2 linked regions of the Drosophila melanogaster genome follow. Changing the gene in region 2 together with the main gene of any one other region gives a genetic interaction. Each region holds a gene or a part of one and is shown on either strand. Other genes may lie near its edges. The genes, in order: sit and Npc1a.

Region 1 (7,578 bases), on a different chromosome or scaffold from region 2:
GCCAATTAAACATTTAAGAGCCTCATTTGCAATTGCTGTTAACAATCTTACGACTACAAGTTGCTGTAGGCAGGAAAATAAAGTTCGTTTTATTGGAGTAACTTTGCTGAAATTGTTTGATCATCGGAAATCAATGATTCAACTGTTTGACGCCCTTGAAAGCAGAAAAATCACCAGTTATCATAATTACTTTATAATGTTTTGTCCCATCGCCAATTGAGGGTTCTACAAGCCAAAGACATTTTGCACATTTGATTATTACCCTTGCGACTCAATTTTGTCTACGCAATTTGCCGCGAATATACAAACAAATTCAATAATAATTGTTTAACGGTTTGTTCGCCAGTTTGACTGTTGGCTAAATGTAAATGTTTGCGGAAGATATTTGCATAACTGGCAGCAACCCCTCAGATACATTTATATATACATACATACATACATACATATATATCGAACTCGATCGCATGAATCGTCTGCAGCGACAGCGATAATAAACTAACGTCTTTTGCATACGATTATGATCCGCTTGATGGCTGGTGGCCAAACAAAAGACGAATGCAAATGAAATCCGAAACACCGGAAGAATTTGTCACTGGCTGAGGCGCACACGGCGTATGATTGATTCCTGGCCAACGAAGGGATTCACCCGATCAACCATACGCCCGGTCGACATTCACCCACATCTTATGCAGTCCACTCGGATTCGAACTCGAACTGGTTGGCATAAGCTAATCGGCAAGTTCAAGTTCAATTCGCCGGTGACACAGTTAACATTTCGGTGACCCCAGCCTCAGCCTCTGTTTTTTTTTTTCTCAGACATCGAAGTTCGAAGTCTTGGCCAAAATAGTTGCTATCGGTTTGGTTTCATTAACTTGACCCGGAAGTGGGCCTTAATCGATGCGCTGCGATCATTGTGGGTCGTTAGAATCCGATTCCGAATCTGATTCCGAGCCCTGGGCCCAAAGAATTTGTATGTAAATTGCCAGGTAAATGCGCCGTTTCCTTGAATAAACTTTACAAACACTTTTAACGAAATACTTCTGGCTGTAAACCTTTCCGCTTTATGCCGATAATAGCAATGTTTTAGGCTTGTTTTAAATAGTTTTCAAATTGCTTGTAAAACAGTCTAGGGAATTTCGCTGATTCGCCAAAAAAAAAGGTCAACGAAATTATAAACCACCTACGCAGTTTCAGTTCAGTTCAGTTGGGTTAGGTTCTAAAGTTCATACTGGAGTTAAAGCGTGAATAAGTATTTCAAGTGGGTCAAGGTTACGAAAGCGAATTTGGATGAAGATATAAAAAAAGGGAGAATTACCAGAAACCGAAAACAAAATAGAATGAACATTTCATTCTGAGGCGATTTGAGACTATTTCTAGGGTTTGTTGTCATATTCTGGCTAATGATGAAAGAGCCTAAGGGAATGGATAAATAATACTCTATAATGACTGAATGTTGTTTAAAAAGCTATTAATTGAGAGAAAATGAAAGTATCATTAGGGTACACATACGTATATGTAGAATATATTCTCATTTGATAGAATGTTAGTTTCTGTTTGTTATTAGCAAACTAATCAGAGTTGTCCGCTGGGATTGGCTGTGTTTTCTAAAATAAAAACATTTTACTTTGCAAATGTTTAAATGAATTTTCTGTTTATTAGGTCTTGTTATTCAAATTTCTGGAAGCACGCTCAATGCCATAAATTCGCTATCCTCTAAGTTCTACCGCAATCGCTTTGACCAAATCGATCAAAAGTGACAACTATTCAAGAATATTTTATGATTCTTTTAATTGTACAAAAGGCTGCACAACCAAATACAAAACGAATTAAAAGCCAGACGATTTTGGCCAACAACAGCAACAAAAAGCCGGCAACACGCACACACAACACCAACATTGTTATCGCAATTATCATAGAAAAACGAGACCATACGAGACCATTCGATACATTTTGTGTATGTAGCATATAGCATATAGCGTTTGGAATCCACGAGGCACAAAAGAACATCTTAAAGCTAAAGCTAAAGTCAAAGATGAGGATGAGCAAGATGCCAAATAGCCGAGACAAAAGTTCGGCTAAACAAAAACTAAAGCTGAATCTAAACGCCGAACTGAAGATGAACTGAATACAGATACAGAAACAGATACAGATACAAAAACAAATCGGAAGGCAGAGACGAAGAAACAGCAGTGCCAAATCGAACCTTTAGTCGAAATTTTTATACATAGCGCCGTACAACTCGGCGGAGCAGTTCAGTGCGCGTACAAGTCTCGTGGGTAGCGGATGCCAGCAAAGGTATCTCCCCACTATACAATAATATACCATACTAAACTATACTATACCACACCACACCACATAGTGCCTCATATCAGCCTCATTTGAGCAAGACTAAAGATGGAACAAGACTAAAAAACAGTTGTCACGGTGCTAACATTAAGTTGTCGTCGCTCAAAATTAAGTGCACGGCAATCGAAGAGATTGCAACAGGTGCCCAACAAACCGCTTCATCTGTGTGTGCCAGTGTGTGTGTGTAGATATATCTGAGTGATCAATCAGATCAATCGTTGGAGGCGAGCAGTTATAGAATTCGTGGCTTAGACTGGATTGATACGCTGGTAGAGGTCCCTGAAAGTGAAGTTCTGTAGCTATTCAATCGACAGATCAGCTGACAAGGAAAGGTTTATAAAGTTTGTGCATTTCAATAGTTAGGGTACATATCCTTAAAAATCAACAAAGTATTTCAACACTTAAAAGGCTAGTAAAGATGAGCAAGGATACGCTTGTGTTTACATCTTTCTAAAATTTGCTTAGAAGCACAAGTAGATGATACTTCATATTTTGTATCTTTCACTTCCATGCCTAATATTTAGCTTAGATCAGCAAACTTTTTTTTTTTGCATAGAACAAGTGCCATATGAGGAGTTTAGCGATCTCCACCTGTCAAGGTCATTAAACCAATGCGACACATATTTGATTTTGGCAAAAACAAAACCGCCGTCGTCCAAATTGGGCAATAGGTGACACAATTTTCTATTTGCTCGCTCTAGGTGCTTCCAAGGTTTCCCACATCTCCGGACATTTACCAAATGACTAACCAAGTGGAAATACCCTCAAATTGGCTGGCGATGATCAGCCAGACACGACGGCGTCCAAATGATGCGACATCTTATGGCTTAGATCATAATTCCCACCCATTCCCGAACACACACAAAATAAAAAAGAGCAAGAAACGCATGGCAAGGTCGTAATTCCAACTGAAAATTGATAAACTGGATTTTCTTGGCCAGTATTTTGTGCGGCCAACAAAAGTGTTTAGCACCTTTTGGCTTATGACTGCCATTTGTCGCCTTCCCCCTCAAGATTTTCTGGCCCCATTCTGCGCTAACTGTTGCAGGTAATATTCAAACGGAGCCATAACACCTGAAGTGCAGGAAATGACCGGAGAGCTGAAGCCAAACCTGTTGATGGCTGCTGATAGCCGACTGGAGTGTTGGCCAAGTTGCCCTTCAAAATATCTCCTCAGTCGTTTTTTTTTTTATTTCAATTTGTTCCTCACTTCGCAGACCAAGAAGCCGATCAGAATAGCCTCGAAAACGACGCAAGAAATCATAATGCTATTCGATTATTTTGTGGTCTTAATCGGCCTTAGCCAAGTTCAAGTGTGAGTCGACTTCAAGTCAACGAACGTGAATGCTTGGAATTTAGCATGGGTGCTTGATAGCTCGATGGTTCTCAAATGCCCCCTTTGGAGGAGCAAGTTCTTGGCGATGATTAATCACCGGGAGTACCACTTCACTCTGTCCCACTTTGGACTAAACGACTTCTGTAGAAGATCCCCGAGATCCGTAAGAGAGTGGCAAGCAACAGCTCAAAACCAAACAAACTGCACAACACAAATATAATTTAGCTGGGTGTGCGAGTGGGTTTTATGCGTTCCACACGTGAGGCACTGAGGCACTGCCCAATTTACTTGGGTCTTGTATCTCGGGTCGTGAGGCAACCAACCAACCATGGTATGGGCCATATGGAGTTGAAGTTTTGAGGTGGCCACCAATTTGTTGCGGGCTGTTGTGCGCTGCGGTTGTTTAATTCATAATAATGAATATAATTTACTGTTACTGTTACATGATAATTTCACGGCATTTCACCGTCACCGTCACACATTTGCTATTTGCTATTCTCCTTCGCCTTCGTTTGATTATTATTTTAATTTTATTTAGATTTCTGGGCTCGGCAACAGCAACAGCAAAAGCAATGGCAAAAGCTGTAGCTGAAGCTATAGCTTTGGCATTAGTTGCTCGAGAATCGCATTAACATAACTTAACTACGAAAACTCGAAAAGATCTTTCCCTCATCCAGACTCCCTTCCGATCTTCCCAATTCCATTTAGATTTCGCAAAACTCGTTCGTTGCGACGCAGGCTAAGCAGATTTTTGAATTTCACATCGAAACGATCGTCGCTATATAATCGTATTTGTGGGAGCAAGAGTCCAACGAGGAGAATTTAAAAATGGCAGCCGTCAACGCAACACAGGTGGACTATTGGAATTTTCTGTTCACCGATCTGGCAGGTGAGTTGGATGGGGAGGGGAACTACCTGTGCCGCATATAGATGCTGATCAAATCCCTGATATTCCCACGCAGATCCCCGCACCAATGACTGGTTCCTGATCAAGTCGCCACTGCCCCTGCTGGGCATCCTGGCCTTCTATCTCTTCTTCGTGCTGTCCTGGGGACCCAAGTTCATGAAGGATCGCAAACCCTTCAAGCTGGAACGCACCCTGCTCGTCTACAATTTCTTCCAGGTAGCCCTCAGTGTTTGGATGGTCTACGAGGGCGTGGTCATCTGGCAGTACTACAGCTGGCGGTGCCAGCCGGTTGATTGGTCCCGCACACCCAAGGCGTATCGTGAGGCGCGCGTCGTCTATGTCTACTATCTGGCCAAGATTACCGAGCTGCTGGACACCATTTTCTTTGTGCTGCGCAAGAATGACCGACAGGTGACCTTCCTGCATGTCTACCATCACACGGTGATGCCCATGATCAGCTGGGGCACCAGCAAGTACTATCCCGGCGGACATGGCACCTTCATTGGCTGGATCAACTCCTTCGTGCACATTATCATGTACTCCTACTACTTCCTCTCCGCCTTCGGACCCCAGATGCAGAAGTATCTGTGGTGGAAGAAGTACATCACCAACCTGCAGATGGTAAGAACGCTTTATACGCTATCCATAGATATCTGTAGTATTTCAATTTGAGGGGTTATAAGAGGTTTATTACTTGCTTTGCTAATGACTTCATCTTAGAACTAAATAGGAAAGCACTTAAGTGGAAAATATTCAAATGTATTCTTTGATTTTAGGGCTGCACTTAAAAGTGATATATAGTTTTATTTTGTTGTGAGATACTAGAGCTCTACAACCATTTCATTTTAAAATTATCTAGATTAGTATAAGTACAAAACAGATAGATTCAGAAATAGATAGCACCTCATTCTTCCTTATCGATAGCTCTTAATGGTCTCCCGATTTTACGATTATTCTTACAGATCCAGTTCTGCTGCGCCTTCATCCACCAGACGCAGCTGTTGTACACGGATTGTGGGTATCCCAGGTGGTCGGTGTGCTTTACCCTGCCCAACGCGGTGTTCTTCTACTTCCTGTTCAACGACTTCTACCAGAAGTCCTACAAGAAGAAGCAGGCTGCTGCCAAGGAGAAGGCTCTGTCGGCGGATAACAATAATGATGGATGTGCCAAGGACCTCAACAAGGCAATTCAGCTGCAGCAGGAGAAGCAGAAGGCCTTGTAAGAGGGAGGAGCACAAACACCCACCGCCACCCACCCACACACACCACCCTCAACACACAAAACCCCTTCAATACTCGTACAAAAGGGCGGGTAGAAACACCCACTGAGAGCCACCCATGTTCTATGTGCAACCTTGTTGACTAATTTCTTAAGTAATCCGCCGCCAAATAGACGTGAAGCACGAAAAAAAAAAGAAAATCAGAAACGAGACGAATAGATATTTGAGCAAATGAGGTTTTCGAGACACAGATACACATATTATGTAAATGTAAATGTAAATGTTCAAACAGTTGAAATTGCTTTTTGCCGCCATCGTCATCATCATCGCTCGCTCCGTTTGAAGTTCGCCATCGTGTCGGGCGGACCCAAATGAAAGAAGTCGTATGTCTTTCGGCCAAAACTGAAACTGAACTAAGTTAAGTAAACAGGCAGAAGAAGCGTTAGTTGTGTAAATAAGTGTAGGTACGCATGCGAATGTGTTTTCTTTAGATTTTATATACGTGTGGTATGTAAAGTAGGCATTAAACAAGTGAAAAACTAGCTAATAACGAAACCATAAATACAAACACAATTTACAAATAAATCTAGAATTTTTTCTACAAAAATATCGTAAAAAAACAATGAGCCTTATTCTTTATCTTATGAATGGGAAATTAACGGAAGTGAGAACTGACACTCCTAGTGTCAATATACTGAAAAAGATCTCAACTTTGCTTTTATGGGAATTTTTCATATAAATCTGTTTTTATGTATCGTATATTTGTCAAAAAAGTCTGACATTTTTAATTAATAGATCACTTTATCAGGATCATGTACCCCATACTATTTCTTTATAGTTTGAATGATCTTGTTTTCAATACATTTAAAAGTTTTTTCCTTTTGACGCAATAATATATTATACTTTTAAATGAATTACTTTTCATTTAAAGAAATAATGAATTAATGCAATTGGCCTTGAAAACATTGCATATTCAAGCATTTCCTGTAATCATTTGTGTTCATTCAACTTGTATTTATGGTTTCAAGCCACTTTAATGGTATATTTGTCTTTTCGACAACATTGGGGTATCTCCCAAAGAGCAATCACACCCATTTGCATCCCAATCTAGCCATTCATGATCTCAGTAAGCCTCAGATAAATCGCACGAGGTAACCTTTGCTCAAGGAACCAACTCAAATCGATTGACCAGCTGATATATGTATGTATAACCAAGAACCTATTCATTCAGCAGCGGAAGCCAAAATGATTTAAATTTGAATGGGCGTGGCTAGTACAACTGGTCTATGGGGTGATGATCTGGACACGATCGGTTCATGAATTTTTACGAGACTCTGGAAAGACGACCACTTGGCCACTCATTAGAGCTCATTTCGCAGGCACCTTGAACGGCGGCGACGGAGGAGATAAGATTTTGATAAATTCCGCAGCCTTTTATTGATCAATCAGTCAAGACGGAACGCAACTGAAGCGGAAGTGAAAACGCATCTTCGAGTGGGGTTGCGGCCATCCGATGTGCGGATACAGTATTCAATAAAGCCGGTTTGGACACTTGGCCTTGATCTTGACCACAAACATGAGAAAACAAAGCGCAGCTCTCAGCCAAAAATTTCGGTTTTTATCTGGCCCCAACCGGAGCTAAGCTAATGCCAATATTATACCAGTTTTATGGTCTGATCAGCATAGATTCTATCAGACTTTCGATTGAAGATGAAGATCTCCGGCGTTATTTATATATTTACCAAGAAACTGGAAAAAATTTCCATAAT
Region 2 (8,931 bases):
TGTTTACGTGCGCTTCAGCAAAGGCACCAACAATTTTATTTTCTCATGAGAAAACCATGTAATTTTATTATTTAAATCAACCATTTGCCATCACTCTCGTTATGTAATTAATTGTAATTTAGGTGTGAGCAAATAAATATACAAGTTGCCGCTGAAGTGGCACATTTTATTTGGCATAAAAACCATCTTAGAGGATAACTTGTCATTCACTAAAAGCAATCAACATTTTTTTATAGTAGAAATGTTTCAATACCGGCATTGATAAATATTTTTAATCCAACAGTGTGACCGAACTGTGAAATCGGAAAAATGCAAATAAGTTGGGAAAACTTATATCGAAAAACCAATATTTAATAAATACTATAAATAAATAATAAATGAAGGTTTAAAATTAAAATCAAAAAATTTTACCCATAACATTGATTTTTTGTATTCATTTATTCAGTTTGTTCCGTTTTAGGATCTATGCAAATGCATGAACAATTTTATTGTATCCTTGAATCTTACATTTTTAATGGTTAAGATGCTTTCATAGCCCTATAAATGCCTATGGACGCTGCTCGGTTGCAACCAGGACTTCTGGGTCGCGTGGTCCGGCTGCTGGTTCCTCTGGGGGGGATGGGCGATCATCGTCATCGTCGTTCCTGGGCGTATCATTGTCATTCTCTTTGGCAATCGCCACATGCTTGGCGCTGTCTTTATTAGAGAGAATTGTGAATGGCTGGTCTTTGCCGACGATGGCCACAGTGATGTCCTGCAAGAAAAACACAATTTACTAACTATTCGCGACGGGAAATGTGCAATGAACTTACATACTGACCGGCATCTTTGCCTTGCTCATCCGTAGGCAGGGTACCGAGTATAGCGCGAATTCCGTGACGGATGATTTCATCTTTGGAACTGTCCAAGAACTTGTTCAAATTCTTCTCCAGATAGGTGCGTGCACTCTGTGAACGCGATCCGATCGAATTGGCCTTGCAATTGAAAAAGGTCGCCGATGGCGTGACCTGATAGATGTGCGGACCCCTCTCATCGTAGCCGGCGACCAAAAGGCCCACTCCATACGGACGGCGATCGTAGCGCTGAGTGGTCGTCTGCATCTTGTTGCCCAGGTTAGTGATCAGACGCGAGACTGGATAGGTTGTATCGTACGAGTGCTTGTAGTTCAGGCACTCGGAGCGCAAGTACCGGCTAAGGACGCGGGCATCAGCCGTGAGGCCAGCAATGGAAATGCCCAGGTGATCGTCGATTGGGATGATCTTGCGCTGGGTATCCGATAGCTCCGATGTCGGCTTACACAGGGCGACAAGTACAGCGTAATCTTTATTTTTCAGGCCCACGGTTGCGGTGCCAAGTTTCACGGCCTCCATTGCGTACTCCACCTGGTGGAGACGTCCCTGCGGACTCCACACAGTAACATCGCTATCGTACTGGTTGCGAAACTGAAAGCAAAGATGTGAGTTTGTAACAAATGCAGTTAGCACACCATTATTCGCAATAAACACTTTACCATGACTTTTGAAATGCAAGCCGCTGAGCTCAATGATGACAAGTAGAAATGCCCGATAGTTAGTTATGGCACGCCGGGAGACACAAACAAACTGTGTATCGGGTATCGATAAGGGATTCGGGCATGCTATCATTTTTGGAACGATGCAATAGAACATTGTAGGATATGCATACAAATTTAAGGGGATAATGATATTAATTATAATCAGTAAACTTGTATGAGCACCTTGTTAATCGTAGTTAAATTAATTCCAGCACCACATTATACCTGACTACACACGTTTAATTGACCAACAATTACAGCATACCATGTGAGTAATACAATTTTAAACTATAACGGCTTATCGGGACTTAACTAACAATTAAGTTATATTTAGTTTAATTTATTAACTGCATACTTAAAAAATTAAATGAATTTCTTGTTCCATTCGCTTGTTCCCAACTTGCATTCGGAATCACTGCATATCGACTACAATCGATTGTTTTGCCATTAAGTCTGATAAGCTGTCAGTGGGAGTGTTTACGTTTTAATTGTATATTTCAGTTAGTTTTCACTCTCTCCTGTTTTGGGACCGAGGGTTTGTAGCTCCGTAATCGGATTGTTTGTCGAGGGTATATGCTCGCCTATATATATACCTCCACTCGAAAGTGTTAGCATCAAAATTGCATTGTTAAGATTAGTAGAAAGAAAGATTTTCGTGCGCACCTTAATCATAAAGCCGTGTAATTTAATTAACTGAAGGAATTAACTAAGGTGACTTCATTGCACACACACATACACACAAACCGCTACATACATATGTACACCTCATAATATCCCTATATACGTATGTGCACGAACAAAGAAAACATTTTTATTGGTTCGGCGCATTACTAATGTTTACAATTAACGATTTCTGTGAAAGTGATAGTATACTTATATTGCGTGCCCTTCAATGCGGCTACTGTTCGCTGTCCGTATTCCCATATCTTCGCTACAAGATTGCTTTATTCCGTGACATCCGCTTAGCTACATATCCAAATAGCGCAAAATAAATATATAAATAAAACATCGTGAATGGACCAGCACAGAATATTTCAATCCGCTGATCATATCCCATTCCCGATGCCATTTACCAAATGCGACTGACCACCAGCCAAATTTGCATGTGGCGAAGGGAAAAAAGGCAATCGAAGCGGTTGTGTCGATTTCCCAAGAAGTTGTACATAGTACGTAGCGAGCGAGCATAATGGAATTTCCCCCTCCATAAAATCAGACAACTAGTTGCATCATCACTTTCTCAGTAGTCGTTTAGTATTGTAGATACATATAACGAAAGCCAGTTAACGACAATGCGTTTTAGCGCGAAATTTAACGTATCAATGTCAAAGACCAAACCCGACTTATGTATGTAGCTCCATGCCCAGCTACCTTGTTAACCTAGCTAGTCGGTATCAAATGGTCTCAGTGTTCGTGGATTCACTCTATATTGACCATTGGGTCACAATTCTTGAACTGCTCTTAATGGATCACGAGTTTTTTGGATATTAAAACGCATTTTGTGTCAATTAGCACACAAATCATAGGTGTACGATTTCGAAAACTATTTCAATTCTTTTTGTCATGCATTTTTTATAGAATATTTTCAGTATACAAGATAGTAAAATCATTCATCTTTTTTTTTAAATACGAATGCAATTGTTTAGATTTATCTTAAATTTATTTTAATACATATTCTAGTTTGATTTTTATGACACAAAGTCATAAAGATTTATAAATATTAATTTATTAAAAGTTTAACCATCGTTTTGTCAAAATTCCGCTATTAATTTTAGCATTCTTAGAAATTTTGAATAATATTTTATTAATTCATATTCATGCCTAACAAAACATGTGGTATTTTTGAAAATTTTACTAACATTTTTCTTTGTAAATACAAAACATTTTGGCAAATAAAAGTTAAACAAATTCGAAACAAACGCAATCTTTTATTTTGGTATATTTGGTTTTCATATCGGTATATATTATTTTAATGAGTGGAGGGATTATCCGAAATTCTAAACCACCCAACCATATAATGTGCACTGTTTTGATTACATTATAATTTCGAGTATTTGATTACACCATTCAGCAATATATATTGACTGAAACTGAATGGATATTGAAGCGTGGCAATGAATCAGTTTTATTGTTATTCTTTCCTTAGGAGGCAGTTCTATTATTAGGAATACTGCTTATCGAATTGCAGCGCATCTGCAGAGTCTAAACAACAATTTAATCGCCAGATATCGCAATTGCGAGTTGCAAGTGTTCCAAAACTCACTTCGTTGTATATTTTGTATATATATATTTGGTTTGCTGGAATAAATGTTTATTTAATTCGTTGGAAAACGGTTTCATCTGGCTAAACGCAAATTTGCATGAAGTGTACTTTATTTGTGTAAGCGAAAACGTTGAATTTGCCAGGCTCGGATTACATTTGATTCAGTTCTTAGTCGAAAACCGAGACTCTTACTTCGAATATCATACATAATAGTAAGCCCAGGTGCATACTTTAACCAAAAACGTTCTTTACAGATATGCGATTGTGATAGAATGAGTCCAAGATCCCCGCTCAGGATATCTCCATTTGGAGTACACATCCTCATCGCTGCTGTGCTCTTTACGCTAATTCAATCATCGAAACAGGTAAACTAACATTTGGTTTTTATCATTAAATTTCAATATTTTATCAATATTAAGCATACTGGGTTTTTAATCGCGCAGATTAGTCGTCGTAAAATCATTTCTGAAAATGGACTGGTAAATTGTATTGGAAAAGCTGTTGTTTCACCTCAACAATGAATGAGCTAAAACAGATGCAAGGCAATTAGAAAAAATATATATTTTTATAGCTCTGGGTGGCGGTGAGATGACGTACTTAGTTTTGGAAGTAATATTTAAATTTGAAAAAGGTATTTGGGGTCAGCAAAAAGATAGCTAAAAACCAGACTTCAACTTAGCTTAGCTCACTCTACATATCTCTGCTCTATAATGTTATTAACTTATTTTGCAACTTTTTAAGGACTGCGTTTGGTATGGCGTGTGCAACACCAATGACTTTTCGCACAGCCAAAACTGTCCGTACAATGGAACAGCGAAGGAAATGGCAACTGACGGTCTGGAGCTGCTGAAGAAACGCTGTGGATTTCTGCTGGAGAATAGCGAAAACAAATTTTGCTGCGATAAGAATCAGGTTATGAGTAGCATTAGCTTTGCCCAGGCGTCATAATTATCAAACAAATGCCTTTGCAGGTGGAGCTCCTTAATAAGAATGTGGAGCTGGCCGGAAATATCTTGGATCGATGTCCATCCTGCATGGAGAACTTGGTGCGGCACATCTGCCAATTCACCTGTTCACCAAAGCAGGCTGAGTTCATGCATGTGGTGGCCACGCAGAAAAATAAGAAAGGTAATCATTATTAATAGCTTATTAATTATTGAATAATTATATATTCCGAATTTCAGGTGATGAGTACATAAGTTCTGTTGACTTGCATATATCAACGGAATACATCAACAAGACTTATAAATCGTGCTCTCAGGTACTTCTGGATTCCATATACATTATTCATTGATCGAAAATAATTATTGTTTGTGTTCAAATAGGTTTCTGTACCGCAAACGGGTCAATTAGCTTTTGATTTAATGTGCGGCGCTTACTCAGCATCTCGCTGCAATCCTACAAAATGGTTCAACTTTATGGGCGATGCCACCAATCCATATGTTCCTTTTCAAATTACCTATATTCAACATGAGCCCAAATCAAATAGCAATAACTTTACGCCCCTCAATGTAACGACCGTTCCTTGCAACCAAGCAGTTAGCGTATGTACCTACTATCCTTATTGGAAATTCATTTCATTTTGTGCTAAATATATAAATTGCTTGTAGAGCAAACTACCTGCGTGCTCCTGCTCGGACTGCGACCTATCCTGTCCCCAGGGACCGCCGGAACCGCCCCGTCCAGAGCCCTTCAAAATTGTTGGACTCGACGCCTATTTCGTCATCATGGCAGCTGTCTTCTTGGTGGGAGTCTTAGTATTCTTAATGGGCTCGTTTCTGTTTACACAAGGTTCGTCCATGGGTGAGTTTTACGCAGTTAAATTATTCGTCACTAGTTTCATATCTGAATGTTAAGTGTACTTCAAATTACACTTTCTGTGTGAATAATTTGCAAAACTCATGAATGAATGAATGAATGACCATTTTAGTAGCTTGAAATATAATGAATTTCCCTATTTCAGATGACAACTTTCAAGTGGATGGCAATGATGTTTCCGATGAAATGCCCTACAGCGAGAATGATTCATACTTTGAAAAACTTGGCGCCCACACAGAAACTTTCCTGGAAACATTCTTCACCAAATGGGGAACGTACTTTGCTAGCAATCCTGGCTTGACTTTAATTGCCGGAGCATCCCTGGTTGTTATACTGGGGTATGGCATCAACTTTATAGAAATCACAACGGATCCGGTTAAACTTTGGGCTTCGCCGAACTCAAAATCCAGACTGGAGAGAGAGTTTTTCGATACGAAGTTTTCGCCATTCTATAGGCTGGAACAGGTAAGCTTTTGAGATATAATGGTTTTTTTTGCATAATCGTAATCTTTATCTATCTTGTAGATAATCATCAAAGCTGTGAACTTGCCACAGATTGTGCACAACACCTCGAACGGCCCATACACCTTCGGTCCCGTCTTCGACAGAGAATTTCTAACAAAAGTGTTGGATCTGCAGGAGGGCATCAAGGAAATTAACGCAAATGGCACACAGCTGAAGGATATATGCTACGCGCCTTTGTCGGATGATGGCAGTGAAATCGATGTGTCCCAGTGCGTTGTCCAATCGATTTGGGGATACTTTGGCGATGATCGAGAAAGATTGGATGACCACGACGAGGACAATGGATTCAATGTAAGTCAAATATACTTCAATAGATTTGCTATCAGGTTCGAATTCGGTTTTATTCATAGGTTACCTATTTGGATGCCTTATACGATTGCATTAGCAATCCCTATTTATGCCTAGCTCCTTATGGCGGTCCCGTAGATCCAGCCATAGCACTTGGAGGATTCCTGCCACCTGGAGACCAACTGACTGGCAGCACGAAATTTGAGTTGGCCAATGCGATCATTCTGACATTCCTGGTCAAGAATCATCATAACAAAACCGATTTGGAAAATGCCTTAACGTGGGAGAAGAAATTCGTGGAGTTTATGACCAACTATACGAAGAACAATATGTCGCAGTACATGGACATAGCCTTCACATCGGAGAGATCGATAGAAGACGAGCTCAACAGGGAGTCCCAGTCGGATGTGCTGACTATTTTGGTGTCCTACCTAATTATGTTCATGTACATAGCGATTTCGCTTGGCCATGTCAAGGAGTTCAAGCGAGTGTTTATCGACAGTAAGATAACGCTTGGCATAGGCGGTGTCATCATTGTTTTGGCCTCGGTAGTGTCGTCCGTTGGCGTTTTCGGTTACATCGGTTTGCCGGCCACCCTGATCATTGTCGAGGTCATACCGTTTTTAGTATTAGCTGTCGGAGTGGATAACATTTTTATTCTGGTCCAAACTCATCAGCGCGATCAACGCAAACCCAATGAAACGCTTGAGCAGCAAGTTGGTCGAATACTCGGCAAGGTTGGACCCAGTATGCTGCTCACCTCGTTGAGTGAAAGCTTTTGCTTCTTTCTCGGTGGCCTTTCTGATATGCCAGCCGTAAGGGCTTTTGCCCTATACGCCGGCGTAGCCCTCATCATTGATTTTCTATTGCAAATAACCTGTTTCGTTAGCCTATTTACGTTGGATACGAAGCGCAGGGAGGAGAATCGTATGGACATTTGTTGTTTCATCAAGGGCAAGAAGCCGGATAGTATAACTAGTAATGAGGGACTCTTGTACAAATTTTTCAGTAGTGTTTACGTCCCATTTCTGATGAAGAAAATTGTGCGCGCCAGTGTGATGGTCATCTTTTTTGCCTGGCTGTGCTTCAGCATTGCCATTGCGCCACGAATCGACATTGGGCTGGATCAAGAGTTGGCTATGCCGCAGGATAGTTTCGTCTTGCACTATTTCCAATCGTTGAACGAGAATCTCAACATTGGTCCACCAGTGTACTTTGTGCTGAAGGGCGATCTAGCCTATACGAATAGTTCGGATCAGAATTTGGTGTGTGCAGGTCAATATTGCAACGATGACAGCGTACTCACGCAGATCTACTTAGCCAGTAGGCACTCTAACCAAACGTATATCGCGCGTCCAGCATCCAGTTGGATCGATGACTACTTCGATTGGGCGGCAGCAGCATCATCCTGTTGCAAATATAGAAAGGATAGCGGCGACTTTTGTCCGCATCAGGGTGAGTTTTGACCTAATCCATAGTTGAGCATAGAAAATATCTAATAACATTTCGTTCATATTTCAGATACTTCCTGTTTGAGGTGTAATATCACGAAGAATTCACTTCTTAGGCCGGAGGAAAAGGAGTTTGTTAAGTATTTGCCATTTTTCCTGAAGGACAATCCCGATGACACGTGCGCCAAGGCCGGTCATGCCGCCTATGGCGGAGCTGTTCGGTATTCCAACAGCCATGAAAGACTGAACATCGAGGCGTCGTATTTTATGGCATACCACACCATACTTAAGTCCTCGGCCGACTACTTTCTGGCCCTAGAGTCGGCTAGAAAGATATCCGCGAATATTACGCAAATGTTGCAGGGCAGACTAATGTCAAATGGAGTTCCTATGGCATCGGCCCTTACGGTCGAAGTGTTTCCATATTCAGTATTCTATGTGTTTTACGAACAATATCTGACCATGTGGTCGGATACGCTACAGAGCATGGGTATTTCAGTTCTTTCCATATTCGTTGTTACATTTGTTTTGATGGGCTTCGATGTTCATTCCGCATTAGTTGTTGTCATAACGATAACTATGATTGTTGTTAATTTAGGTGGCCTTATGTATTATTGGAACATTTCGTTGAATGCTGTTTCGTTGGTGAATCTCGTCATGGCCGTCGGCATATCCGTGGAATTTTGTTCGCACTTGGTGCACAGCTTCGCCACATCGAAATCAGTTAGTCAAATTGATCGAGCTGCAGATAGCCTTTCCAAAATGGGTAGCTCCATTTTCTCCGGAATCACTTTAACCAAATTTGCGGGCATACTAGTGTTAGCCTTTGCAAAAAGTCAGATATTCCAGGTGTTTTATTTCCGTATGTACTTGGGAATCGTTGTAATTGGGGCGGCGCACGGGTTGATCTTTCTGCCCGTTCTATTAAGTTATATTGGTGAGTGAAGATAGCTTCTGATAAAATAACTTATAACCTATTAATCCTTCGTTTTTTTTTTTGTTACAGGGGCTCCTGTAAGTAATGCTAGATTAAGGTA

What was found.
Region 1: of Npc1a (region 2) and sit, changing one suppresses a phenotype caused by changing the other (phenotypic suppression), as found in Drosophila melanogaster (one study listed by BioGRID).

What each region holds. Positions count from the first base shown.
Region 1 is NT_033777.3:22,557,242-22,564,819, reverse strand, and holds sit (stuck in traffic), read left to right. Parts: upstream 1-2,247; 5' UTR 2,248-2,295; intron 2,296-4,390; 5' UTR 4,391-4,510; coding exon 4,511-4,571; intron 4,572-4,644; coding exon 4,645-5,210; intron 5,211-5,551; coding exon 5,552-5,812; 3' UTR 5,813-6,478; downstream 6,479-7,578.
Region 2 is NT_033779.5:10,214,025-10,222,955, reverse strand, and holds the start of Npc1a (Niemann-Pick type C-1a), read left to right. Parts: upstream 1-2,003; 5' UTR 2,004-2,087; exon of another isoform or gene 2,088-3,077; intron 3,078-4,066; 5' UTR 4,067-4,084; coding exon 4,085-4,177; intron 4,178-4,553; coding exon 4,554-4,724; intron 4,725-4,783; coding exon 4,784-4,940; intron 4,941-4,996; coding exon 4,997-5,073; intron 5,074-5,137; coding exon 5,138-5,356; intron 5,357-5,422; coding exon 5,423-5,615; intron 5,616-5,775; coding exon 5,776-6,095; intron 6,096-6,155; coding exon 6,156-6,446; intron 6,447-6,505; coding exon 6,506-7,898; intron 7,899-7,964; coding exon 7,965-8,831; intron 8,832-8,900; coding exon 8,901-8,931. Other genes in the region: Prosalpha6 (proteasome alpha6 subunit), read right to left, coding at 548-754, 813-1,442, 1,511-1,513.